4 linked regions of the Drosophila melanogaster genome follow. The gene in region 4 interacts genetically with the main gene of each other region. Each region holds a gene or a part of one and is shown on either strand. Other genes may lie near its edges. The genes, in order: Kr, bnl, Lam and hb.

What was found.
Region 1: of hb (region 4) and Kr, changing one suppresses a phenotype caused by changing the other (phenotypic suppression), as found in Drosophila melanogaster (one study listed by BioGRID).
Region 2: of hb (region 4) and bnl, changing one enhances a phenotype caused by changing the other (phenotypic enhancement), as found in Drosophila melanogaster (one study listed by BioGRID).
Region 3: of hb (region 4) and Lam, changing one enhances a phenotype caused by changing the other (phenotypic enhancement), as found in Drosophila melanogaster (one study listed by BioGRID).

The regions. Positions count from the first base shown.
Region 1 is NT_033778.4:25,224,838-25,231,896, reverse strand, and holds Kr (kruppel), read right to left. Parts: upstream 5,287-7,059; 5' UTR 4,946-5,286; coding exon 4,909-4,945; intron 4,536-4,908; coding exon 3,064-4,535; 3' UTR 503-3,063; downstream 1-502. UniProt on the Drosophila melanogaster protein: Krueppel is a gap class segmentation protein. It is involved in the segmentation of the embryo and in the differentiation of the Malpighian tubules.
Region 2 is NT_033777.3:19,833,811-19,838,540, forward strand, and holds the start of bnl (branchless), read right to left. Parts: upstream 3,008-4,730; 5' UTR 2,452-3,007; intron 1-2,451.
Region 3 is NT_033779.5:5,540,670-5,547,152, reverse strand, and holds Lam (lamin), read right to left. Parts: upstream 4,674-6,483; 5' UTR 4,493-4,673; intron 4,375-4,492; exon of another isoform or gene 3,829-4,374; 5' UTR 3,822-3,828; coding exon 3,359-3,821; intron 3,116-3,358; coding exon 2,412-3,115; intron 2,347-2,411; coding exon 1,645-2,346; 3' UTR 511-1,644; downstream 1-510. Other genes in the region: Hel25E (helicase at 25E), read left to right, coding at 5,232-5,430, 5,497-5,720, 5,817-6,000, 6,063-6,181. UniProt on the Drosophila melanogaster protein: Lamins are components of the nuclear lamina, a fibrous layer on the nucleoplasmic side of the inner nuclear membrane, which is thought to provide a framework for the nuclear envelope and may also interact with chromatin.
Region 4 is NT_033777.3:8,691,820-8,699,849, reverse strand, and holds the start of hb (hunchback), read left to right. Parts: upstream 1-2,027; 5' UTR 2,028-2,524; intron 2,525-5,249; exon of another isoform or gene 5,250-5,394; intron 5,395-5,677; 5' UTR 5,678-5,695; coding exon 5,696-7,972; 3' UTR 7,973-8,030. UniProt on the Drosophila melanogaster protein: Gap class segmentation protein that controls development of head structures.

The sequences.
Region 1 (7,059 bases), on a different chromosome or scaffold from region 4:
ATAAGCGCCAGTCTTAGAATTTGTGAGCAGAAGTCTGCTGGTAAAAATTATAATTTTTCAGTTTAAATAATAACGACAGTAAGTTGGGTGCGTCGGCGGTTCTTTGCCAGCGAAGGCCTTAAATTCATTTTCAAGGCCTTTTATTTTTCATTCCTTTGCGGAACACGAAATATTTAAAAAAATCGTAAACTCATTTGAAAGTTTTCTATGTCCAACACCAAACTATTTACTCGGCAGCTAAAAAAAAAGCTTTTGAGGGTGAGGATTGGGGGTTCGAATAAGATATACGTACCTATCTACACTATAAAACTGGCAATTACCAGTTTATTCCCGTTTCTTCTTTTAACTTATTTATAATAAGCTTTTATTGGTAAAATTAGGGTAAACAGTTTTAGCATAAGGTTTATTTGGCTAACATTACGTTTAACTTTTTAATTATTGAATTGTTTTTATTTACGTATACGCTCATAGAGTATGTTTACAGAAGTCTAAGCGAAAAAAGCCTAAAATGCTAATAAGCATCACAAAACGTGAGCATTTGTCCTGCGTCTCACTCTTTTACTCCGTTTTATATATGTACGTGTGTAAGTACATAAGACGTTCTTTATGTAATACTTGTACATACAATTTTATATAGAGGGGGCTGCCAGGATGAAGCCTTTTTTGGCTGTTGAAAGGGGCACAAAGAAGAGAAGGCGTCAGTTCCGCGGCATGGCTGAACGGGAGGCGATTGGTATGAGTGGGTGGCGTCGACTTTCTTTCATAGCATTGTAGATGTTTGCTCTCTCTCTCTGGAGATTAAATGGAAAAAACACTGTGACATTTTCTGACTGCGCGGCGCGATTTTTATATTCGTTTTTGCTCAGCTGCTGCCGTTGCCTGCAGACGTAAATTTAAATTCCAGTGAAGGGATGGATGAATAAAGGGGGTGACGTGGGGAGGAACGTGGCGACGGCATTAGTGGGGCGTCTTGTGGCAAATGTAAAATAATGCGAAAGGGCTTCGTTTGCATAAATTAAAAATTTATGTAATGCTGCCCGTTTTCTCTTTTACGAAAAATCGAAGAAAGCTGTGGGTAATTTTCTAAAGCGGGGTTGCTACGAATATTTTTTGCTTTACACAATTATCTCATATGTATATACATATATATACATATATATATTTATATTCATTTATTTTTGGTTTCCCAGACAGCAATTTTTAAATTTAACATAATATATTTCGATTTTTATGTAATAAATACATATTTGCCGATGTATACATATGTATTTATTATTGATATAGGTAGAACATTAAATTAGAGAAGAAATAGTTATGACAAAAAGTAACAGTTTCGTTTACTATATGCTAGACTGACATATCTAATGCAATCATGTACCATAAAATACATTTTCTAGTTTATATTTACTGACGTATTTTACAAGGTGTATGTGTGTATGTCTTTAAAGGGTTAAAATTAGCAACCCCCTAATTAACACATATAACTCTTATTTTTTGATACATTGCACATCCCTAGCCACAATTAGGATTATAATTTATTTACATAAAAATTGACTTGTGATTTTATAAATTTAATTATATCTATTGGGTTAAACGTCGAATGTTGCTGTACACAATTAATATGATGTCTTTCGTGCGCTGACTTTCAAATGATTAGAAATGCACTCTCTATTTTAGTTTATAGCTCTTGTATTCTTTTAATCTTGAGGAACTTGTATACCATACATTTGAATGAACAAAGAAAATTACATATTAATTTGTTACATTATTATGACTACAACGTTTTAAAATAAAAGCAGTAAGCTTACCAATGAATAGAACGAAAAATTGCACTAAATTTATTTCAAATTGTTATTGTTATATACAACCTTATATACTTTTATATGTAATTTGAATTGGCCTAGTATTTAAAATTAATTTCTTATTTTAGGTCCATTTAAATATGCATCAAAATTTTAATACATATAAATTGTTTATGCTTCGTAGTTTATATTCCTAAGTCTTGTATATAAATTCAGTTGAATTGTACGATTGCCAAATTGTTGAATGTATATACTGTTTAGCTCACAACAATTTCGATACAGAGGTATTGGAGGTATTTGGTTATAGCAATTTCTTCCTGTGTATTTGGTTCAAGTCTTACAATTAAAACTAATAGTTACGAGTGTTAAGATAAGTGGGATTACTATACTTTCGATACGCATTGATCTACATTAGGTTATTATTTTGGAATATATATTAACGTTTCTTATAGTTTGCAACAAAAAAAAAAAGATTTTCAAAAATGGATGCGTAAACTGTGTTTAAGTTATGGCAATATGAAATAAAAGCGGAATCAGTTAAATATTAACGTTACCATTGATTTTCTTTTTTCTTTATTGTTTATATTTGAAGCAGCAACAATTAAACCAAATATTTATTGAAGTATAAATATAAAAGTGTACATTTAAGAATGATCTTTAAAAAAACAGGATTAACTAAATTTTTATATTTAATAATAGTTTTAAATAGAGAATGCAAACAGAACAATTATCAAACAAATGTTTTTTATTATTTAACTTAAAGTTAGTTTTGATTTGAAGATTATTGGCATTGTTTTCTTAAAGAATTTGATTAAATTATAAAAAATTAAGCTAATAAATTAAATAAAATTAGTTATAGATTTCCTAATTAAACTTCGTGTCTTTTATTTTTCTGCAACAATGCATGTTTAGAGCGCCGATTACTTTACAATTGGCAGCTGTGTAAGCTGAATATGTACAATTTAAGATTCCGAACCTAAGAATATAACTTAAATTTAAGGTAAAGAATGGCACGACATTTTCGATTTGATTTGGTGGGGTTTGGCGGTAACAAGCATACGGTATGGCTTACTTTGTACAATTTCGACTTTTTTGTATGTTATTTTTTTTTAAACTTGTACTTATCATTATATTCCTGTTGCAACAATTTTTACTTTCCACTTTGAAATAGCAAAATTTTCAATTTTGTGTTAATAAATGCCAGTCAATTTCATCAAATGAAAACTGATTAGGGCTATGTACAATTCGGTGTGGTACTGGCCTAATGTTGTTGATGGCCCATATAAGAAGCCGGGGCATCATCTAAATCATACAAGTCAATATCATCGGTTTGCTCGTGAGATCCGATAGAGCGAGGAGAGTGCATGCTCAAATCCTCTGGCTCGGTTTGCTCAGGCATATCACTGGGTACGTGAGGGATTTGCGGTGGAGGCAGCCGGAAAACCCGACGAATGTCCTGTGCCTTGCGCCGTGCGATGTTGCTGCAATGGCCATCCACAGAGCTGGCTCCATCTTCAGACAAATCCAATGGACCATCGTCCTCCGGTGTCGCTTTTTCCATGTCGACCGACTCATTCGAACCTCCGTAGGTGGCACACATTGCCGCAAATCTATTCGTGGATGCCTCGATAGCAATTGCGGAGATTGCCACGGGGTAATCTCCACTCATGGCCGGTGAAAGCGCGGGAGTAGGCGGCGACTGGATGCCACACTTGTGATTCATCAGATGGTGGCGCCGTCGGAACTTCATGTGACACCGTTCGCACTCGAACGGCTTTTCACCGTTGTGTACCAGCATGTGGGACTTAAGCTGATTGGAGTCACTGAATTTGCCATCGCAGATTTCACAAGTATAGGGACGCTCTCCAGTGTGGACTCGCAAATGTCGTCTAAGATTGGCCACCTGAACGAATTGACGATCGCAGTGCGAGCAATGATATGGTTTTTCTCCAGTATGCAAACGCATGTGGGTTTTTAAGTGATGGTCACGAGTAAACCGCTTGTGGCACTCCGGACATTCGAAAGGCTTCTCACCGGTGTGGGTGCGTTCGTGGTTCTGAAGCACGTGCTTATAGCCAAAGCTGCGTGAGCAGATTTTACAGGTGAAGCTTTTGTCGCGAGATGGATCCTTGGAGACACCGACACATCCAGCATTTCCACCCGCTCCGTCGTGCGTTGAATTAGGAGAGCTGCCACTGGAAGGCGGAGATATTGGGCCTCCCGATGTATGGTACATATCGTTTACACTCATGCTGATCTCGGTCTGAAACTCCTTCTTAACCGATAACTTTCGAGCCTTCTTCGCTGGCTCATGGTGCTGGGGAGTGCTGTTGGGGGAATTTAATGGGTGCTTGCCACTACCTAAAGGAGTGGACAGCGGCGAGTGCGGGCTGGCTGGCGGCGAATGTAAATGCGTACCCTGGGGCGGGAGCGACTGTTGGGCAGCCCAAGCCCCAAACAAAGCCGCCGGATTGTGTGGAAAGAGAGTGTTGGCCAATGTGCTCATGGGCAGTTGGGCCATGAATGCGGCAGCTTGACGGTTTGCAGCCAGAAGTTGGGTAGGTGAGAGCATTCCAAAAGCTGAGGCAGCGGCCGCCTGTTGGAGACCCATAGCTGGATAAATCGCAGCGGCGCTTGTAGCTGATGTGTTGGCCGACATGGGGGGCGATAGCGACATGGAACGGTCTAGATGAACGTCCTCTTGTTTTATGCCAGCTAATGCAGCAGCTAAGGCTAAAAAAAAAATCATAAGTTAGTATGTTTTCATTTGGAAATGTCTTAAGAGCAACGGCTTAAAAGAGAAAAAAATTTTACATATGATACATGTGTGAGAGAAAGTTTCGTACGGAGAGAACTCTTAGTGTTTTCGCAGCTCTCTATTTTCGTCTAACTAGTTTTTGTTTTGGTCGATAACGAGTTAAGTGCCGGTTCCTGTCCAAACATGTAAACAAATTCTAACTAATCGGTATGTGTGCAATTACATTACATTTGTATTTTCTATCCTAAAGACATCGGACTGTTTAATAATGAGAAAGTGATCGGGGACTCTAGAACTTCTAGATAGTTTACAAACTTGGGGAATATTTTAATTTGGTCTAATACTTACTTCGCGTTTGTGCGTCTTGAAGCATTGATATGGACATCAACAAATTCTTCTTGTGCTCCTAATTTTGTGCTCGCGCAATGTTTTCCCGCACACAGAAAACACCTATAATATTCGCCTTCGTGGTTTTGGAGCTTCAGTTTTTTAGACAACAAAATTTCATTTGAGCAATTTGTGCACTTTCAGGGATATGAATAATTTTTGTACACACTTTTGTACTTTGAGGTAGAGAGATTTCACAAAAATTGTCTTTTATAAAAGTTTACCGATTTAGCAAAATGAGGTAGTTGAAATTTGATTCGATTATATTACTCGCGGTTGTGTGTGGCACAACAAATGGTTGTTCCTTTCGCTGACAGAGCCAAATCACGACTGATACAAATTCGCTGCGTGAGCTAACTATAAGTACGCTCTGTCTCGGCGAAAGATTCTCACTCACCCTCGTACGCACACACGCCGGGACTCAATTGGCTCTCCCGCTCACACGCACGCAAATAAGGGTGCAGACAGGAAGGGAAATCATCACGGCGAAAGCGAAAAACGATCCCCAAGCCTGAGCAGGTAAAGTAAAAACTGGGTACTTCGCTGAGTTGAGTGAGTTGATTTCATCGATTCCTTTTTATACCTAAAAGTGCTAATTTTTCATATGCAAATTGGTGCGAATGAGACAGCTAGAGGTTCCTTTCAATGCAAAAGATATATAGTCAGTTAGAGTCAAATATGGACGATGTGGTTTTTTAACATAGGTTGTCGATGCGAATTATCTTCGCTGAGTAGAGGGTTTTATGACCTTTACGTTTCTAGTCAGTAATAAAACATAAAAAATCAGAACTATGTGTTGACCGTTAAAGGACATTTTTTAATGCTTATGACCACTTCCGCTTGTGTTTTTTAGAGCCTTCATAAAAACTGCACTTGCAGGAATATTACACCACATAAAGATCACGTAGAAGTTTTTAGAGTTAGTAAGGGACGCACAACAAAAACTCACTCAGATGTGCCTTTGTCATTTCCCCTTTTTACATTTGAGCTATAGAAAATAACTAATGTGTCTAAGGGGGATGAACGCCAATGGAGAACAGGGCGAAAATGAAACAGCGAGAGCAAAAGAGCCAAAATTCATGAAAAGAGATGTCACGGACGGGGTTGAATTTCAAGCGTGCGCTGTACGAGTAAACAGGAAGTAAACAAAACATCGGCTTAAGGAGTGCAGAAAGTAAGAAAGAAGGTCGACGGTTTTTTACCAGCTATACTGAGTGAGTTTTTTGTCTTCCTTGTAGCCTGTTGAGCAAAGTCTCAAAGACGTGGAAGTTCAGTTTAATGGACAACTAATTATTGGCACACGTCTAAAAAAGAAATCGTAAAAAGGAACTAGTAAAAAACGGATTCAGGTAGAAAGGAAATATAATAAAAAATTGTAAGAGAGCTGCATCGTTGAAATTTTCTTGCTTGTATAGACGTTTTCTGTGACTTTTGCGGATTGACTTTTAAATGGTTTTATGTAGATTTTTATGGCAAGGACATGCTATGTTAAATTTATGTTGAAAATCGGTATTTTTGGTTTTGTAGGTAGGCCAAGGACGCTCAGAGCTCACCGGGTGGTAAATTTGAACTACCGTGGATTTTAAGAAAGTGAAACCAAACAAAAGCAGAAAGGCACACAAATATCCTTGCTCTGCATAATGTTACGTAAAATTATAATGGTTTTGTCATCGAATGTTCGACTTCATAGAAAGTTTTTCACCAAAACAAAATTCGCAGAAGGCATTAAATAATATGCAAGCAAAGCGCTTAAAACTGACCCTATTGATAAGAAATTCTTAAATTTCGGGCTGAGCTGACCGGTTTTAGAAAATCTTCATACGATTCCTATGTTTCGGCGATTAGTCAGAAATTTTTTTTGGTTGTTTGCGTGATAAGCAGAGGCTTGATATTGAAAGATCCACTTAAGCTCAACAGATTTTAATAAGATCCGGGCCTTATCGTTAATGACTTTGTCGGCAATCACTAAACTAGAATAGTATCAAAGCGAGTAAAAGAAAAATAGACTAGATTTTGATTGGCAAAGCGAACTAAAGATTTCCGAGTGAATGGGGCAGAAGTGCGTGTAAAGTGCGTATGGTCGAGGCCGCTGATAAGGTCCGAAATATGGGA
Region 2 (4,730 bases), about 11 Mb from region 4:
TGCCTTTTTGTTGCTCGCTTTTTAACTGAGCGGTGTACCTAAAGCTGTTGCCATGTGCGATCGTGTGTGTGCGTCTCTAAATGTATGCCGCACATTATGTGGTCTAGTGTTCACGCTTAATTAAAACAAACGCTACATTTTTACTGAGTTTCCCGCATTTTCCGCCTTCTTTCGCCGACTTCGGTTGACTTTATATTCCGAGTGTTATGCGCCACTTTTGGGCAAAAAGAAAAACAAACCGCAAAACTATTTACGCACGGCCATAAAACTTTTTTCTTTTGCATGCGATAAGCTTTATCTATCTACGAATTATGATCGTTGTATTTCAAACTTTGGCTCCACTGGGCTTGCTGCCCCATCAATCAGGCACAATTTGTAAATGTGTCACAGGCCCAAGCGAAAAGTTACCCAACTCGTGCGTTTCAGAACTAAACCTGATAATTGGCTGGCTTTATGACATCTGAAGTCCGAAGGCATGCACGACAGTCTCCGGGGAAATATAAATTCCACGCGCAACTCTTTTACTACCAAAATATAAATTTACTTTTCAATTAATTCGGGACTGCCCATGCAATTTAATCACTTCAATTGGTTTTTCTGCATAAACTGATGTCTTAATGTCTAAATTTACGGTGGTCTTTTCAATTATTCAATCGTTGACGTAGCCAGAAACCGTTTCGTAAGCGGTACTAAACAATTAGCCAATTATTTTCTTTGCCCTTGGGGGATATTCATTTTTTAGTTGATGAAATTGTGACGTGAGAACTTTAACGGCAAAGGAAATAAAATTTGATCGGCATTTGAAGAGGCACAATTCAATTATGTATAATTAATGTATGAATCTTTATCGCTTATTTTTGGTTATTAATAAGTTATACAATTAGAATTAGAAGATAAGATTTATTATGGCTTATGTAAGTTAGCAAAAAAGATTAACTTGATTATAATACTAACTAATAGCCCTTATTGCTGGAACAATTGTAAACCAATAAAAAAGTTATGAAAGGAAAGTAAAAGGTAATAAACCAAAATTTTAATATTTTCCCTAGACCCCAGATAAGTTTGAAAAATGACCAGAAAAAATCTGAAAATACCAAATAGTTAATAGCTTCTACAAATAATGACCCTGATTTGAGTTAAGCACTCTTCGCTGCCATTAATTTTGAAGGATATCACCCGCTAGTCCACACAGCCGAAATTCATTCAGTTTATTCTTTATCGCGATCCCCATATTTCGCACTTTGTCTGTCGCTCGGCTGTCCAAACTGTGATCCGGCATGTGATTAGCAGTTGTTGAACCCGACGCATACTAGCGTGCGGCAATAACGCAAATTCGCACACAGATACAAAATACAGATACAGATACGCAGCGCAAATCATCCGCAGGAAGAACAAGAACAACAAGCCAGCTTAGATAATAGCGCACAAATGTTAGATAATAGTCAGCGCCGCCAATTTATAGGACAAAAAGTGCACGCGCAGAGTGAGCAGAAAAAAAGTTTATTGCGAAAAAGTTAGCGAAATGAGATTAAAAGCGCCTGCGTGCGTTTGCAAATAGAGATACGCACAATTCGCATATACGCAGATACAGATACATTTCAAGACGGCGATAAAGATTCGCAAATGTATATGCGTTTTGCAAAAAAAAAAACTATAAATAATCCCAAAGATCGTGTGCTTAAATTTATATGAATTTCGCTTTCATAGAGTGGGTTCTCCTAAGGTCGTTTGCTTTCACCGGTTGGCAAAAAAAAACATTTTGCTACATTTTGTTTGCTTTACCAATTGTTTATTTGGGGCAGATAAACGCGGAAAAGTACTTGGAAAAACTAGGCTGCAAATCAAATTTAATTCGCTTATACCTAAATGCAATCAGATTACGTTTTAAGTGAATATCATTCTGCACAGGTATTGATCAATCAAATCAAATATGAACTAAATTATTTCAATTAGCATGCCACTAATATAAATTAAGTTTTTGCCCATTTGCTTTAGCTTGCTATTTGTTTGTTGAAATCAATTTATTTCGTTTTTATACATATTGCTATTTAATTACTTTCCCTCGTGGGTCATTTAAATACACTTATTACTCGGCCCGCTGCCAAGTGGAAAATGTTTTAAATTTATTTTGAAAGTTACCAAACAAATTGCCACATTTCAACGTATTCAAAATATTTTATTTAAATGCCCAACATTGCGCGACCAAAGAACACTGAAACTCTTTATAAATTTTAGTATTTCAAAACATCAAATCTAATAATACAGAAAAACATATATTTTTTCCGTTCGGCAAACTTGAAACTTTCAATAATTTTAGGCTTGCTTTTGCTAAGCTCCAAAGACCGAAATCCAATGAAATATTTTGCAACATTCGAACAAATACTTGGAGGAACAACAAACTTATTAAAAAAAAGAACTTATGTAACAGCGTTGAAACAGAAAATTACGCACCTAGGTTTTATGTTTGTTTGCTTTTTTTTCAGTTTTACGATTCTTTTTTTGGACGCGTTGTATTCTTCGTTGATTTTCAGAGAGTTGCACTTTGCACACTTTAAAACTTACGGCAACAACAATTCAACATTTTCATAATTTTTTTCTTATATTCCTTTTTCAAACACAGCACAAATCATATATATATATTTATTTTTTTATATATTTTCCGATCTTCGAATTGCTCGCATCTAAACGATTTTTTTTTTTTATTGCGGGCTTTTCAAATTGTAACGACTCTCTTGGATTGCGAAACGAACATTCGTGTTTCAAATTTCCTATCCGCCGAGATTATTGTTTCGATCTCCTTTGAAAACGATTGCACACAAAACCGGAACATCGAGTACGTTAAAACGGAGCGATTACGGACGCGATCACGATGATGGGGTTACGATTAGAGATGGTTAGGATGTGCCAGATGGATCGGATCGGATCGAATGGTAGGTCTGAAAAATTCGAAAACGCTGCGGATGCGGATAAGCGGACTTCGAGTGCTACTGCGACTGCGGACGCTCCGCTCACTGTGTGTTCCCCAAGCGTGCTAGTCAGAGACTGAAGCCATGAGCAAAAAGACCCTGTCGATGAGGCGACGCTTCGTGCGTTCACGCCGAGCACGTTTGCGACGGAACGAGCACGAGAGAGAGAGTGCGATGCGGTGCGGTTCGGCGGGAGGGAGACGGAGAGAGTGAGAGCAAGTAGTGGGCGAGTAAGGTAAACGCCAAGAATGGTGGTCGGTGGTCAGCTGTAGTGAATGGTGGTCGGTCGGTTCCCTAGGTGTGATATGGGGTTTATCTGTTATTCCCAATTCATCCTTCCGATCTGACGAAACTGCGGCTCAAGTGATTGAAACGCTGCCAACTCGTTGATTCATCATACATTAGCGTCAGAATCAAAAACACCGTTATAAAAGATTTGTATTTCGTTCGTTGCTAATTTATACTTTGTAGCTGAATAAATTATAAATTTTAATGAGTGGTTAAAAACTACTGTGTTACTAGCTCAACATTGTACTCAAACATTAAATGCAAAATATGAATCAATTTTTTTTTATTTTTTGTGTACTTATTTGTTGTATTTAGAAAATTATTTTTGGATTTTAAGTAAAACAAACAAATTCTGTTAGTGTTTGGGGTGGTTAACTGTAGTCATCTTAATCATTTATGAAGCCTACTTTTTCTTACTCTAAATATCTTAAACGGTTACATGGTAACTATCTAACCGAAAATTCTGAAATTTTTTGGGCCACAATGTAGGCTACAAGGTGTTATCTGTCACTAGAAAAACAACTTTCGAACATAAAGCTCAACTAAAATGTTCTATATATAAAAAAAAAAATATATATATATATATATATAAAATACAGTAGTCTACTAATTTTTGTTAGAGTTCTGTCACTATAATGAGCCCCCTAAGTCGACGGCGACAAATCACGTGACGGTTTTCAAACAGACATTGTGAAAGGGAGAGATTGCAGTTGCTTTTTGTTTTTGATTGGATTGCGTTTGGTGGCGGTTGTGCTTTTTGGCGCGTAGACCTTTTCCAGTGCTTTTGACGTATTTCGCCAGGTAGCGTGGACTTGCACAAATACCAATTAACTAACAACACAAAGTGCAACAACAAGCGTCACCCAGTACCCTTTATTATTCGGCTAAACATTGCCAGTGAATCAGTCGCGTGGGAAAGCCAACTCACGATAGGTGCTAATCGCATCGTTGTATTCGCACTGATAAGGTTTGAACTTTGACCAACTCATTTGCCTGTGGCTGCAATAAACCACAAAACCTATTTCTGACCAACCGAAATTTTTGCTAATTTTAGATGTTGACCAAAATTTAGCCCCAAAAATACTGTCACACGGCAAATTTAAAAGTTAAGGCAGCTATGCGCGAATTTCGTTGAATACAAGTTTATCTTATCTATTTAGAAGGCGCTTATAAAAAATCACATGGTGCAGATACCCATATGTGTGTATGAATGAACTTCAACTTGACACTACAGAAATTGCAGAAATATTCCGGGGTAGTCGCCTACGTCATTCTTGATGACAGCGTCATTCAGTGGGTGGGTGTTGCCGGTGGAAAGTGCGGGCTTGCTACTGATTGGCAAAGTTTTACATTGTCGCTAAGACTATATAACTGCTATAAAGTAGCAGTTTTGAGAAGGCAATGTTGTTTATTAAAGCCATAAAATATTGTTTATCGTGTCATCTATCGTGTTTGGTACTTACAATTTTTTGAAAA
Region 3 (6,483 bases), on a different chromosome or scaffold from region 4:
TCGTTATCGCGGGTTAAACGGTCACTGCATTTGCCAGTTGAACGAACTTTAACCGCATCTCTCGCGTTGAGTGCGTTTCGTTTGAGTGGATTTTGCTCTCTTCTCTATCGACAGGGTTGACACCTAACATTTTTAAAAGAAACAATCATGGTCGGAAGAAGAAGAGAAATTATATTTATAAATGCGAAAGCACGTTGGTTTTGAAACGTCCTGCACTCAAAAATAATCGATAAGTCACTCAAAAATAAAGTTTATGAGCGAACACACGCATTGAAAAAGCATGTAGGCAACTAATACAGACGCAGAAAAATTAAAATTCCAAAAATAACTCATGGCGACGAATAGAAACGCAAAGCGAGTGACGAAAAAAGGGCCACCAGGCGTCGAAAGTGAAATGCGTACCCTACTATTACGAAATTCGTAGGAGCTTATTGGTTTCAGTATACGCTTTAAAACTATTTAATACTTTTTTATGTCTTTCTCTCTATTGCTAAATCAAAGTTTGTTTTTAATTTTTATTAAACATGGTTTCTTTATTTTTTAATTATCAAATTATTAGCAATTACATACATAAACGTAGATGTACTTAAAATTTAGTTGTATTCATCAGTTTTTGTATAATAGTCTGTGTGGGCGTTGCATTTGTTTGGCCGGCGTAAAACGCGACCACGCCCACCCATAAAAAATGCGACGGATCGCTGAGCCGCTACGTGTACTTCCATTTTCTTTCGTTTTTCTTCTTTGTTGCTTTTGTAATTGTTGTACATTTGTGTTGTTGCTGTTAATGCTGTTGTTGTTGTTGCTGTTCTTATTGTTGCTCGTCCGGTAAAATGTCTGCAGGAAGCTCAAGAACCGGTCTAAACCGGGAGAAAGCCGTTTTGGTGGATCGTAAACCCTATGGCCATGGCTAAAAATATATATTGCTGGCTGGTTGTCACTTCCGTAGGCATGAGTCTATATATATAATGTATGTATGTATATGTATGTATAATGTATAATGTATTTTATGTTGATTGTACAAAAAATACTTAAATAAATATGTCTGTTGTCAGGAGCGTTTGTTTTCTTTAGTTAATCCTCTTGACCTGTATCTTATAAATCACTCACTACGTGCTCGTTGTTTTTTTTTTGTTGTTGTTTGCTGACGTCGACTGGTTTATCTGGGATATAGCTTAAAAACTAATTTACTAAATATGTAGGTGGAGCGTAAGTACATCGAAAATATTGTTTTTCTTGCAATATTTTCAAAGTTCTTGCCGCCGCGAATACAAGAAGTGAACGTCTTACGTAAATTCTATGTGGCATAAAAAAGAGGCAACATGCCTCTCCAGTTTATACCAAATAAAGTTTACAATAGATTAGTTAACGCGGAAATACAAAAACATCGAAACAATAAACTATAGAATTTGTTAAGAAAGGGAAAACGAAAGTGTACAAACGAAACGAAGATTCAGGATGTCTTCTACACAAATGTTTTTGATTAAATAATTGGCGCTGCGGCCACAAAAAATAACTTAGCTGAATAATAAATCTCTGTACCTCGGTGTGTGTGTTTTTGGGTTCTAAATTATGATCTTCGTGTGTGCTTATTTTGTTTGTCTTGTTCAGCAAAGAGGAAAGAGTTGTGTTGTGCTGCGTTTGATTTTACATAATGGCGCACTTCTCGTTTGACTGCTGAGGATCGCCCTGCTGGTGGTAGAGCTGCTCATTGCCGTCCACGGCGGTCACGCTGCGACGACGACTCAGCCGGGAGGAGGATGTGTGTTGGGACACAATGCGCTTGATGCGATCCAGATTGGCCACGGCCTCGCCCTCGGAGTTCAGCAAAATCGTCCTAGTGTTGTCGGCGGAGACCCACTTCTGTGACTTCATCACAAGGCTCGATGGCGGCTCGTGCGAGGCCTTGGTGTCCGCCGACCAAACGGTGATCACGCCATTTGGCTCGATCCTCACCGATCGATGGAACTTGTAAGTGGTCGAAGGACCTTTCTCGTTGATTAGCCGCTGCAGCTGCCAGCCACCGATGGCCACCTCCTCGCTGCCCTTGTTGAACAGCCTTACGAACTTGCCCTCGGGATCGATCTCCTTGATCTCCACGTTGCCCTTGGCACTGGCGGACACATAGTAATCGGCGACGCTGTGATCCTCCGACTCGTCGACCACGGCGCGTTTGCGCTTCACGGCAGCAGAGGGAGTGCGACGCGATGGCGTGGCTCGCGTGGAGTTGCGCAGCGACTGGCTAAAGGACTGCACTGTGGCCGTGTTGGTGGCTGGGGTGATGTTCAAACGAGCCTCCTCGCCCACCAGCAGCTTGTCGTATGCGGCGATTTCCAAATCCAGGGAGACCTAAGCAGGATAATTAGATTTATGTATTAATACGTACACGATTTTAGACAAGTATTAAAGCTAACCTTGATGTCCATAAGGTCCTGGTACTCCTTGAGCTGTTGCGTCATCTCTTCGCGCAGCCGAATGAGCTCCTTCTCGAGAAGGTCTATCTCTTGACCGTGGCGTTCGCGATCGTTGTCCAGCTGGCGCTCCAGATCACGGATCCGCGCATTGAGGTCGGCATTGGCTTGCTCCAGTTCGTTGATATTGGCGTTGAGCGCATCGATACGCACACGAGTGGAGCGCAGCTCCTCGATGGACTTGTGCGTGGAATTGGATGTGCGTGCGGCGGCCTCTTGCAGTCGTTGGATCTTGTCCTCGTAGAGGGACTGGATTTCATCGCGATTAATCTGCATCTGCTCCTCGTACTGGGCGCGCAGCTCCTGCAGCGACTGCTTCAACTTGGCATCGTACTCGGAGCTGAGGCGACCGTCGATCTCGCTATACTCTGTCTGTTTGATGCGGCGCGACTCATTGATCTCCTGCGAATGGATCTGATCCTTGAACGAGAGCTCCTCGCGCAGACTCTGAATGGTGTTCTCCAGGTCAACGCGCGACAGTGTCTCCTGTTCCAGGTTCTTCCGCGTTTCCTCGAACTGCTTACGCAGTCTCTCCAGCTCCTTTAGCGCCTCATTCAGGTCTTCGTTAAGCTTCTTCCGATCGGCGTTGGCCTGGTTGTATTTGTTGTTCAGCTCGTTGGCGCGCGACTCGTACATGCGGACATTGCCTGCGGGTTGGGATAATCAATCAATTAATGTTCGTTAAATGCCAGAATAGGGATGATTTTGTCACAGAAAGTGAGGAATATCATGGGATAATCATTATATACAGTTCAGCAACTAAATGAATGTTTCGTTCTTGCTTGAAACCACGCCTTTTGTCTCTTCTTACTTTTAATTTTATCATTACTCTACTTTCTTTGCCCTACAATTATAAGGTTTTCTTATCGATTCAGTTTCCACGCACTTACCCTCAGCAGTGGTGCACTCCTTGGTCTTCTTGTCCAGCTTGTTCTTGAGCTCCTCGTTCTCCTCCCAGAGACGCTTGATATCGATCTCGGCACGAGCGCGATCCCTAGCTGTGTCATCGAGCAGACGGCGCGTCTCCAGCAGCTCGGCCTCGAAGATGTTCTTGATGTTGGTGGTCTCGCGTGTGACCGTGTCCCTGGTGGTCTGCACCTCGATGGTGAGGCGGGAGTTCTCCGTCTCCAGGTTGCGCACCCGGTCAATGTAGGTGGCCAGGCGATCGTTCAGGTTCTGCAGCTCCACCTTCTCGGCCACGCGCGAGTGCCGGGTGGGGCTGAGGGGGCTGGAGGCCGTCTGCGAGTGAGTGGACGGCGGCGGCGGCTGCGGACCCGCCGATGGCGGCCGGGGGGTGGAGGTGTTGCCGGGCTGCGGCGTGGCGGTGCCAGCACGTCGGGATTTGCTCGACATGTTCACGCTGCAAGACAAATGAAATGTGCAGAATAACACGTGAGATTTTTGTGACTGACCTCTTTAGGACACAACACTTGAAGAAAAGTTGAATAACACAATTGCGTGCCTTCTAAACGCGTTTTATATGCAATACTTATATTTGAACTTTTTCGTTCGGTGTAGGGTATGTTATTTTTGCGCCCTGATAAAATTCCAAACAGAACCGAACACGAAAGAGGGGAAACGCACAAAACGCTCAAAAACAGAAGCTAAACGAGTTTCTCTAACGCGCTCTCTCTCTCTCTCGCAGTCTCCTCTACGTCTCACTCACACACACGCACATCGCTTTCCACTCAAGCGACTGTACTAAAGCGGACGAGGAAAACGAAGTGAGTTTGTCGGCGTTTGTTTATGGGCGTGGAGGCAAATGGCGCGGCTAATACTAGTTTAATCAATCGCAACGCTTAGCTAATCCAGTCGACGCACTTTAAACGATTTGATAAGGAGCCAAAAATTGCACAATATGGCGATTTTAATTCAATATTTACAGCGACTTTACACTAATACAGGCAGGGGGGTTATTTCGATTTTGAGTGAAACAGTGCCGCCTCTATTGTTCGGCACTTAATCAGTTATTTCAACTTTTTCTACAAGTTTTCCTAATGCTCGTAGATAGCAGCGCAACTCACCTGACTTTTTATAACGAACGGAAAATGCACAAATTTGAAAATGAAGTATCTTGCAGCAGGAAAACGCGGCCGACGCTGGAACGTGTAATCGAATTTGTTGCGATGGTTTCAGAGACTAATCGATAACTTTCCGGCATGCCTGGTGTGACCAAACGCCGCGCTAGATAAAAGACTAAGAACCGCTTGACCCCAAAATGATAAAAAAAAAATTAAATTTAAGCTCAACAAGCCATTTTAATTTAAAGCGTTAGAAGGCATATATTTTATAAAAACTTTTTAGTTGAAGCTTACAAATGGATTTGTTGTGCACAACTATCGATAACTTAACGATATCACCCGGCTCAGCTCGCATGAGTTCTTAAACGTACTTCGGTCACACTGCTCTGCGCTGTTTTTTCCTCCGCATCACGTTAAAGATTTTAAAATAGTTAATTTCACTTTAAAAGCTGTATTTTAAAGTGATAAACGTGCACAAAAGGTGAGTTTGACACTGAAAATCACACTGCACTAAATAAAATCGTCGCTTGTAATGGGTATTTCGTTTTATTTCGAAATACATGTAATGCGGTGCGGTGAAAAAACAAAATGGCGGAGGGAACGCCGGCACCGGTTCCGCAAAAAAAAGCGGCATTTTCTTTAACAAACACATGTAACTTATCTAGTCGCACCCATTTTATTTCCCAGCATTTAGTTGCGAATTTATAGCCGATAACTAGTTAAAGGTAAGAAAGCCGCAGAAATGGCCGACAATGACGATCTTTTGGACTACGAGGATGAGGAGCAGACCGAGACCACTGCGGTCGAAAACCAGGAGGCCCCCAAGAAGGATGTCAAGGGCACCTATGTGTCCATTCACAGTTCCGGCTTCCGCGATTTCCTCCTGAAACCGGAGATCCTGCGCGCCATCGTGGACTGCGGCTTCGAGCATCCCTCGGAGGGTGAGTACTTGCACTCCACCTGGAGTGACGAAAGGTACAGTCACTAACGATGCTCTCCGCTTGCAGTTCAGCACGAGTGCATTCCGCAGGCCGTACTGGGCATGGACATCCTCTGTCAGGCCAAGTCCGGCATGGGTAAGACCGCCGTCTTCGTTCTGGCCACGCTGCAGCAGCTGGAGCCGTCGGACAACAACACCTGCCACGTCCTGGTCATGTGCCACACCCGCGAGCTGGCCTTCCAGATCAGCAAGGAGTATGAGCGATTCTCCAAGTACATGCCCACAGTCAAGGTGAGTCTACGTTTTAATCCATTGTATATAATTCAACAAAAAGTTTGGTTCGACTATATAGTTACTATATATTAATTCGATATGTTTTCTATTTAGGTGGCTGTCTTCTTTGGCGGAATGGCTATTCAAAAGGACGAGGAGACCCTCAAGAGCGGCACCCCGCATATTGTGGTGGGCACCCCTGGCCGAATTCTCGCCCTCATTCGCAACAAGAAACTTAATCTGAAGCTTTTGAAGCACTTTGTGCTCGACGAGTGCGACAAGATGCTGGAGCAGCTGGGTAAGTTGACTAATAATCACCAAATGACGGACGTTTTACTAATAACCAAACCATTCTTTTAGATATGCGTCGTGACGTTCAAGAGATTTTCCGTAGCACGCCGCACGGCAAACAAGTGATGATGTTCTCTGCCACATTGAGCAAGGACATTCGTCCCGTTTGCAAAAAGTTCATGCAAGATGTAAATATCAACGTGTTCATAACCAAAATGCTCGTACTTCTCCACCTCGCATCCACCGCTATCACGACAATTAGTTATTATTTTGTTAATGCCACGCGATATCGAACATTCGATCTTGATCCCCTCCGTATAAGCCAACCACCATCTTGCAAATGGTTAAACGCGTACAACCAAACGTCCAGCGCTCTGTGAGCATAACTCGTATCGAAAAACTTAGTTAATGACTATCGGACACCATTTTCTAAATGGTTAATCGTGGAAATTGGCAACCGTTGCAAAAGCATAAACAAGCAGTAACCGCT
Region 4 (8,030 bases):
TGCACATCTTACAGATACATTTGCATATCATTTGGGAGATGCGAAGATCATGAGATAAAGATGTGCGGATCCGCCCTGTTGATCTGCCCAATCTTCCCCTCGAAGGAACTTCTGTTGAGACAGCCGCAGGCCAAAGGTTAAGGATAAGGATCATTTGCATGCGTGGCATGGACTTTCGGCAATTAGACGATCATGATCATCAGCATGTTTGTGTTTGTCCCGATCACCGGATAGGTATATCGCAGCTCATCAATTAAAAGGTCAAGCGTGACGGTCCTTGGGACTATTTGTTATGTCCTTAACTTCAACTTTACATAACTTTCCAAACGTAACTGGGTAGGATCCACACAGCACCCGCCCGCCTAAGCAACGCTAATCGGGCTGATCAGCGAACGCTAATCGCTCGGGACTAACTGGATCCTCCGGATCAGCGGCGCTGATCCTGCGTGATCCTGCGTACTGCGTAATGTTGGATTATGTCCTGTGCAGAAGTACGGCCAACTTTTAAATCGCTTTTAAATCCACATCACTCTAGTTCCAGTCGCACTTCTTCGGATGCGCGGATTAATGAACTGGGCGGGCCGATCAGGTAGCTTTGCGTCCTTTAATCCTTTCTTCGCTAAGTCCGGTTGCAGTTCGTATTCGTAATCCGGTTTGCCATGTCAACGTCAATGGCAGGTCTACCTCCGGTACTACCTGTTCCCGAGACGTCCTTTTGACACATATATTCCTCTGGATATGTGAGAGCAACTTGTATAATTTGCATTCCGGCGGCGATTTGTTTGCTCTGTTGTTTTGTAAATATTGCTTTTACATTTTCCCCACCCCCTCTGCCAACGCCCTAATTTCTCCCCGTTCCACTTTAGTTTTAGCCAAAATATTCGACATAAACAGGAGATTTTAGCCCAAATATTCCACATAAACAGGAGATTGAATAAAATAGCTGGAGGCACATTAATTCCGAACTTAATTATGAATTTGCATGTATGTTTTCTTTAGAAAAACTCTGATCCATACAAATAATAAGTTATCCTTTTGTATTGTATAGAGAAAAAAAGGTTTTTACCAATGAACTATGAATAATGAATAATAATAATAGTTTTTTTTTTTAGTCCAAAATTTGTCATTAAACCTAGTTAGAACAATCGCTCCTAATTTATCATTCTAAAAGCGAACATTCCGCTTGGGAAAAAAATTGGTCTAAACCGAATGATACTATTAATGATATGCATTTATTGCTAACCATAATCCTTGTCAAGCTAACAATGATACATTTTCCGAAATTAGCTTAAAAAGGTGGAATACACCCAATATGCACAAACTACCTTAAGGAGATTTGGAATTTCGAATGCTAATTGTGGCAAAGCTTTGCCCAAATTAAGTTAACACGCACAGCAACAGGAAAATGTGTTAAAGCAACAAGGAATCTCCTCGGCCCAAACTTCCATCGTCCCAATTGCAGTTGGCTAAGTTGTTAATGTGTCTGGGCTTAAAGTTGCCCAAAAAACAATTGGCGAAGGCCCCCCATCTTCCTCCATTTCCGCTCTCTCACTTTTGGGCCAGAAATCAATAATCAATAGTGAAGCGGAGATGCCAAAAAACGGCAAAGAGCCAAAAAGGCAGCTGCATTCGGCCAAAATGCAGCGCCAGAAAATGCAAAAGGATAAAATGAGCGAGTCAGAGCGAGAGAGTGGGTGAGTGAGTGAAAGAGCGAACGCCACGAAGGGGATGCTGTTTAGTTATTGCTTTTGGGGATGGGGAAAGTCACTCAGATTTACAGCTAGCATCCGTATCCGTTTTGAGTGAGTTTCGTCGTTACGTTGTTGATGCTCTCCGGCTGCTCTCTCATTTCGATTTCTGCTTCTCCGTGTAACGGCTCTCGTGCGCCTTTGTGTTGTTGCACTTCTGGCATTTGTTTTTGCTTTGCAATTGAGATTTTAGATTTGAGTTCTTTTTTGGCGAGTGCACTGTTGTGAGGAGCAGTGAGGAGATTTTCAGCTATTAGAAGAGCCCGCTGAGCGTGAGTTTGGTCAGTTGTGCTCCGAGTCCCGAAAACGAAAGTCGCCAGCATTGACAGGCAGCCACTGAAATACAAAAATAACCAAACATCCAAAGGACGAAACGTAACTGCTATCAAAACAAATATTGCCATTAAATACAATTAAACTTCGTGCTTGTGCTAAAAGATAACCAATTGCAAAAAGACTTTTGTCCCGAAAACTTATTTTTTGGCAAAGACCACATCCCGCACATGCGCGAATTCCGCGAAAAAGAAAGCACAAAAGCAAGCTAAAAAGCGAGGCCCAAAAAATAGACAAAAACGAAGAGCAAGGAGCCCCCACATCGCCGCTCCCCCTCGCACGCACTGTGCGTGTTGGTCTAACGGTAACCGTGCCGCGGTCAAGCGAGAGAGTGGGAAAGAGAGAGTCCGCGAGCGAAAAGCGAAAACTTACGTGCTCCTGCTCCTGCTCCCGGTTCCCGTTTCCAAATTCTCCCGCAGAATTGCACTTGGACTGTCCGCAAGGTAAGTAACTGGGCGTACCATCCAATATCCTAGTTATACACTGCATTCGACCTCCAATAAATCGTAAAAAACACATGGAGGTAGAAATTCGCAAAAGCTTTCCGCGGATAAACAAATAAACAAGAATTACAAATCGCTTTTGCGGGAGCAAATGCCAAAATGTTGGGGTATCCAGAATATACACAGTTTTTGTGAGGATTTACATACGCCCTGTAAATTTTAATTTAGTTCTCAATTGATACGAAATCTGTTTTTTTTTATAGAATATATTCGATATATAGTTGTTTAATTATAATTCATCATGTGATATACTTTCAAAAGAAACAGATTTAAATAGTTCGTTTATATGCTATTATGCACTATGCTTAATGTATTTTACTTTATTAATTCATGCTAATCTGATGACTGATAACCAATTTGCTTATTCTATGTCATAATCACCTTTAATCCCAAGTACTCAACTTTCTTCTAGTTCTGCACATTTTCTTGTTCTCTTCTTGTTGTTTGTAATCGAGTGCTTCTTTTTCTGTCTAACCTTAGGAACACAAACAAGAGATCTCACACACATGCACACACACAACCACACAGAGTGGTAAATCATTGCTAAAAATGCAAATGGCAAAAATTCTAAAACAATATTTTAAAATCTGTCTGGCTTTTGGCCGATCTTCGGGTGAACTTGTTTTTTGCCCGCTCTGTCTGTTTTTGCCTAGAACTGCAGCGTATATCCAACCCCCAACCGACCCCCCCCCCTCCTCATTTGCTCCTCCTAAGCAACGCCCCTGGCCACGCCCCCCTCTACGCCTGACAGCTAATTTTATTTGTTTACATGTCGACTTTCATGTTGTTTTTTTTTCGCCTTCCTGCCCCCCAAATAACCCCTTCAATTTTTAGCATTTCTTTTCGCTCTTCTTTCGGCAAATGCATTTTCGACTTTTCTTTTTTAATAATTTAAATTTAGACATCGAACTATAATTCAAAGTCAACGTGGCAATTTTTTAATGGCAAATAGTTCGGCACTTGCCAAAATGCATTTCAAATATAATGAATACACCTATGTGACGCTCGCAGGCTTTGTTTTTTTTTTTTGTTTAGGATGATGATGGGAATCATTATTGCACGATCTTTTGCAGAATTGATTGTCATCCGACAGTTTTAATGTTTGCCGACAAAAAGAACTGAGCGCATTTCAAACAAATGGGGCTTTGTTAGGCGCATAAAAATAAATATGCACATATTATACGGGATATATTTATAAACCGCAAATGACATTGAATCACTTCAGTCAGCAGCAGCAGTGCAGTTTTCCCTAAACGAATGCAGCTCCAAAAAACAACAAGTTGTTCTAAGCCAACAACATAACGGTTGCAACTACACATATGTATACGCATACATACATATATTTTATATACGCCTGCAAACAAGCAGGCATATCCTGCTCTTGGCTTGCTTTTTGTACGGATTTTTCAACAAAAACATTTTTTGTGTGGCGCATTTTCTGCGTTTTCGAATTTTTCCATTTTTGCCATTTTCATGATATTTTTAGAGGGTTAAAAAGGGGGCGGTGTTGGGGTGGGGGGGGAGGCACCAAAAACGACTAGCACATGTTTAGTTTACTTTTGCAGTTTCGGTTGCCTGGCTGCACTCGTTGTGGCCACACCACGCCACTAACCCCCACTGCATGGTCCCCATGCCCCCACCCCTGCCCCCTTGGCCCATGCCCCTGCCCGGCGTAATATTAATTTTACACTTGGCCTTTAGTTTGGCTTTGTTGCTGTTGTTGGGCATGGCACAAAAAAGCCCAGACGAAAGGCGAAAATTCTCTTTGTTTCATAGTGCGCACACACACTAACACACTTGCCGAGCAATTAATTTTGGCTTTCTTTAAAAATATCCACAAAAGCGAATTTAAATAAATATGCTAAGCTTCATTTTGTGTGGTGCACTTTCTGTTTCCTGAACCATCAATTATGCCTAAGTATTGTAGATATTTTAGCTGCCAGATAGCACAGCACCATCCTCCCATAATAATATTCCGTAAATGCCCCTTTTTCCCGTTTTGCGTTTTTAATAATATTTACTTGAAAGCACAAACAATTAGCCAAAAATGCAGCAACTGCACAATTTTTCAGTGTGAAATTGGAAATGGAAAAAATATAGGCAACAAGCAATTTTAATGCGAGAATTATTAGAAAAACTACGCAAATCAAAGTGAAATGTCTGGCGGAAAATTGTTGTCAGGAAAATGTTTTTCAAATGGGTGTGTAATAATTATACTGCACATATTATGCATATAGTTTAGTTGGTCCTTAGAGTTTTCCCGCAGGTGTAAGCAGTTCTGATCCGTTAATTTAGTTAAGTCCCGCAATCCTTTTTACTTTTTATTATTAACTACGAAACTGCCCACGCTAGCTGCCTACTCCTGCTGTCGACTCCTGACCAACGTAATCCCCATAGAAAACCGGTGGAAAATTCGCAGCTCGCTGCTAAGCTGGCCATCCGCTAAGCTCCCGGATCATCCAAATCCAAGTGCGCATAATTTTTTGTTTCTGCTCTAATCCAGAATGGATCAAGAGCGCAATCCTCAATCCGCGATCCGTGATCCTCGATTCCCGACCGATCCGCGACCTGTACCTGACTTCCCGTCACCTCTGCCCATCTAATCCCTTGACGCGTGCATCCGTCTACCTGAGCGATATATAAACTAATGCCTGTTGCAATTGTTCAGTCAGTCACGAGTTTGTTACCACTGCGACAACACAACAGAAGCAGCACCAATAATATACTTGCAAATCCTTACGAAAATCCCGACAAATTTGGAATATACTTCGATACAATCGCAATCATACGCACTGAGCGGCCACGAAACGGTAGGATATTGTTAGCCATTACCAAGTGTCTCCATTTTGAACACAAAATCACTCAAATCGCCTTCAGGGGGTGGGTGCCGCCCAGCCACCCCTGACGTATTTTTTGTTAGGGGTGGTGCCGCAAGCACACCAAAAAAAGAGAAAAAAAAAATAAAAGCGAGGAAAAATAAAATGAAAAACAAGCGGAAAAAAAGAGGAAAAAACTCGACGCAGGCGCAGTGCATGAATGAATAAATGAATATGCCCACTAACCCCACTCTCTCTGTTTTCTTATCCATTACAGCCGTCTAGAGCCGCCAAGATGCAGAACTGGGAGACGACAGCCACGACCAACTACGAGCAGCACAACGCCTGGTACAACAGCATGTTCGCGGCAAATATCAAACAGGAGCCAGGTCATCATCTCGACGGGAATAGCGTGGCCAGCAGTCCGCGCCAATCGCCCATTCCCTCGACCAATCACCTGGAACAGTTCCTCAAGCAGCAGCAGCAGCAGCTTCAGCAGCAACCCATGGATACCCTGTGCGCCATGACCCCATCACCCAGCCAAAACGATCAAAACAGCCTGCAGCATTACGATGCTAACTTGCAGCAACAGTTGCTGCAGCAACAGCAGTACCAGCAGCATTTCCAGGCAGCCCAGCAGCAACATCATCACCATCACCATCTGATGGGTGGATTCAATCCGCTGACGCCACCTGGTCTGCCCAATCCCATGCAGCACTTCTATGGCGGCAATCTGCGACCCAGTCCGCAGCCCACGCCCACATCTGCCTCCACAATTGCGCCCGTTGCAGTTGCCACTGGCAGCAGCGAGAAGTTGCAGGCACTAACACCACCCATGGATGTCACACCGCCTAAGTCGCCGGCCAAGTCGAGTCAGTCGAATATTGAGCCGGAGAAGGAGCACGATCAGATGTCGAACTCCAGCGAGGACATGAAGTACATGGCCGAGTCCGAGGACGATGATACCAACATCCGGATGCCCATCTACAATTCGCACGGCAAGATGAAGAACTACAAGTGCAAGACCTGCGGCGTGGTGGCCATCACCAAGGTGGACTTCTGGGCGCACACCCGCACCCACATGAAACCAGACAAGATCCTGCAGTGCCCGAAGTGCCCGTTCGTCACCGAGTTCAAGCACCACTTGGAGTACCATATCCGGAAGCACAAGAACCAAAAGCCCTTCCAGTGCGACAAATGCAGCTACACGTGTGTCAACAAATCCATGCTAAACTCGCACCGCAAGTCGCACAGTTCTGTGTATCAGTACCGTTGTGCGGATTGTGATTACGCCACCAAGTATTGCCACAGCTTCAAGCTGCATCTGCGCAAGTATGGTCACAAGCCCGGCATGGTTTTGGACGAGGATGGCACCCCGAATCCCTCGTTGGTCATCGATGTTTACGGCACGCGTCGTGGTCCGAAGAGCAAGAATGGTGGACCGATTGCCAGTGGAGGAAGTGGCAGCGGCAGCCGGAAGTCAAATGTTGCAGCTGTCGCTCCGCAGCAACAGCAATCTCAGCCAGCTCAGCCAGTCGCCACATCTCAGCTGAGTGCCGCCCTGCAAGGATTCCCTCTGGTTCAAGGCAACTCCGCTCCTCCGGCGGCATCTCCAGTGCTCCCGCTGCCCGCCTCTCCTGCCAAGAGTGTGGCCAGTGTGGAACAGACGCCCAGCTTGCCCAGTCCAGCCAATCTTCTGCCTCCTCTGGCCAGCCTTCTGCAGCAGAACCGCAACATGGCCTTCTTCCCCTACTGGAACCTCAATCTCCAGATGCTGGCCGCCCAACAACAGGCCGCTGTCTTGGCCCAATTGTCGCCAAGAATGCGAGAGCAACTGCAGCAACAGAACCAGCAGCAGAGCGACAATGAGGAGGAGGAGCAGGACGATGAGTACGAGCGTAAGTCAGTGGACTCTGCCATGGATCTGTCCCAAGGAACGCCAGTGAAGGAGGATGAGCAGCAGCAACAACCGCAGCAGCCGCTGGCCATGAATCTCAAGGTGGAGGAGGAGGCCACGCCTCTGATGAGCAGCTCGAATGCCTCGAGACGCAAGGGACGCGTCCTCAAGCTGGACACCCTGTTACAACTGCGATCGGAGGCCATGACATCTCCCGAGCAACTGAAAGTACCCAGCACACCCATGCCAACTGCATCCTCGCCCATTGCCGGACGCAAACCCATGCCCGAGGAGCACTGCTCGGGCACCAGTTCGGCAGATGAGTCGATGGAGACGGCCCATGTGCCGCAGGCCAATACCAGTGCCAGTTCGACGGCGTCCAGCTCGGGGAACAGCTCCAATGCCAGCAGCAATAGCAACGGCAACAGCAGCAGCAATTCCAGCAGCAATGGAACCACCTCAGCGGTTGCAGCTCCTCCATCCGGAACTCCGGCGGCGGCGGGTGCCATCTACGAGTGCAAGTACTGTGATATCTTCTTCAAGGACGCCGTGCTCTACACCATTCACATGGGCTACCACAGCTGCGACGATGTGTTCAAGTGCAACATGTGCGGCGAGAAGTGCGACGGACCCGTCGGCCTCTTCGTTCACATGGCCAGGAATGCTCACTCCTAAGTTCCCCATCACCATCACCTTGTTATTATTATTTATCACTATTATCATATAATCGTTG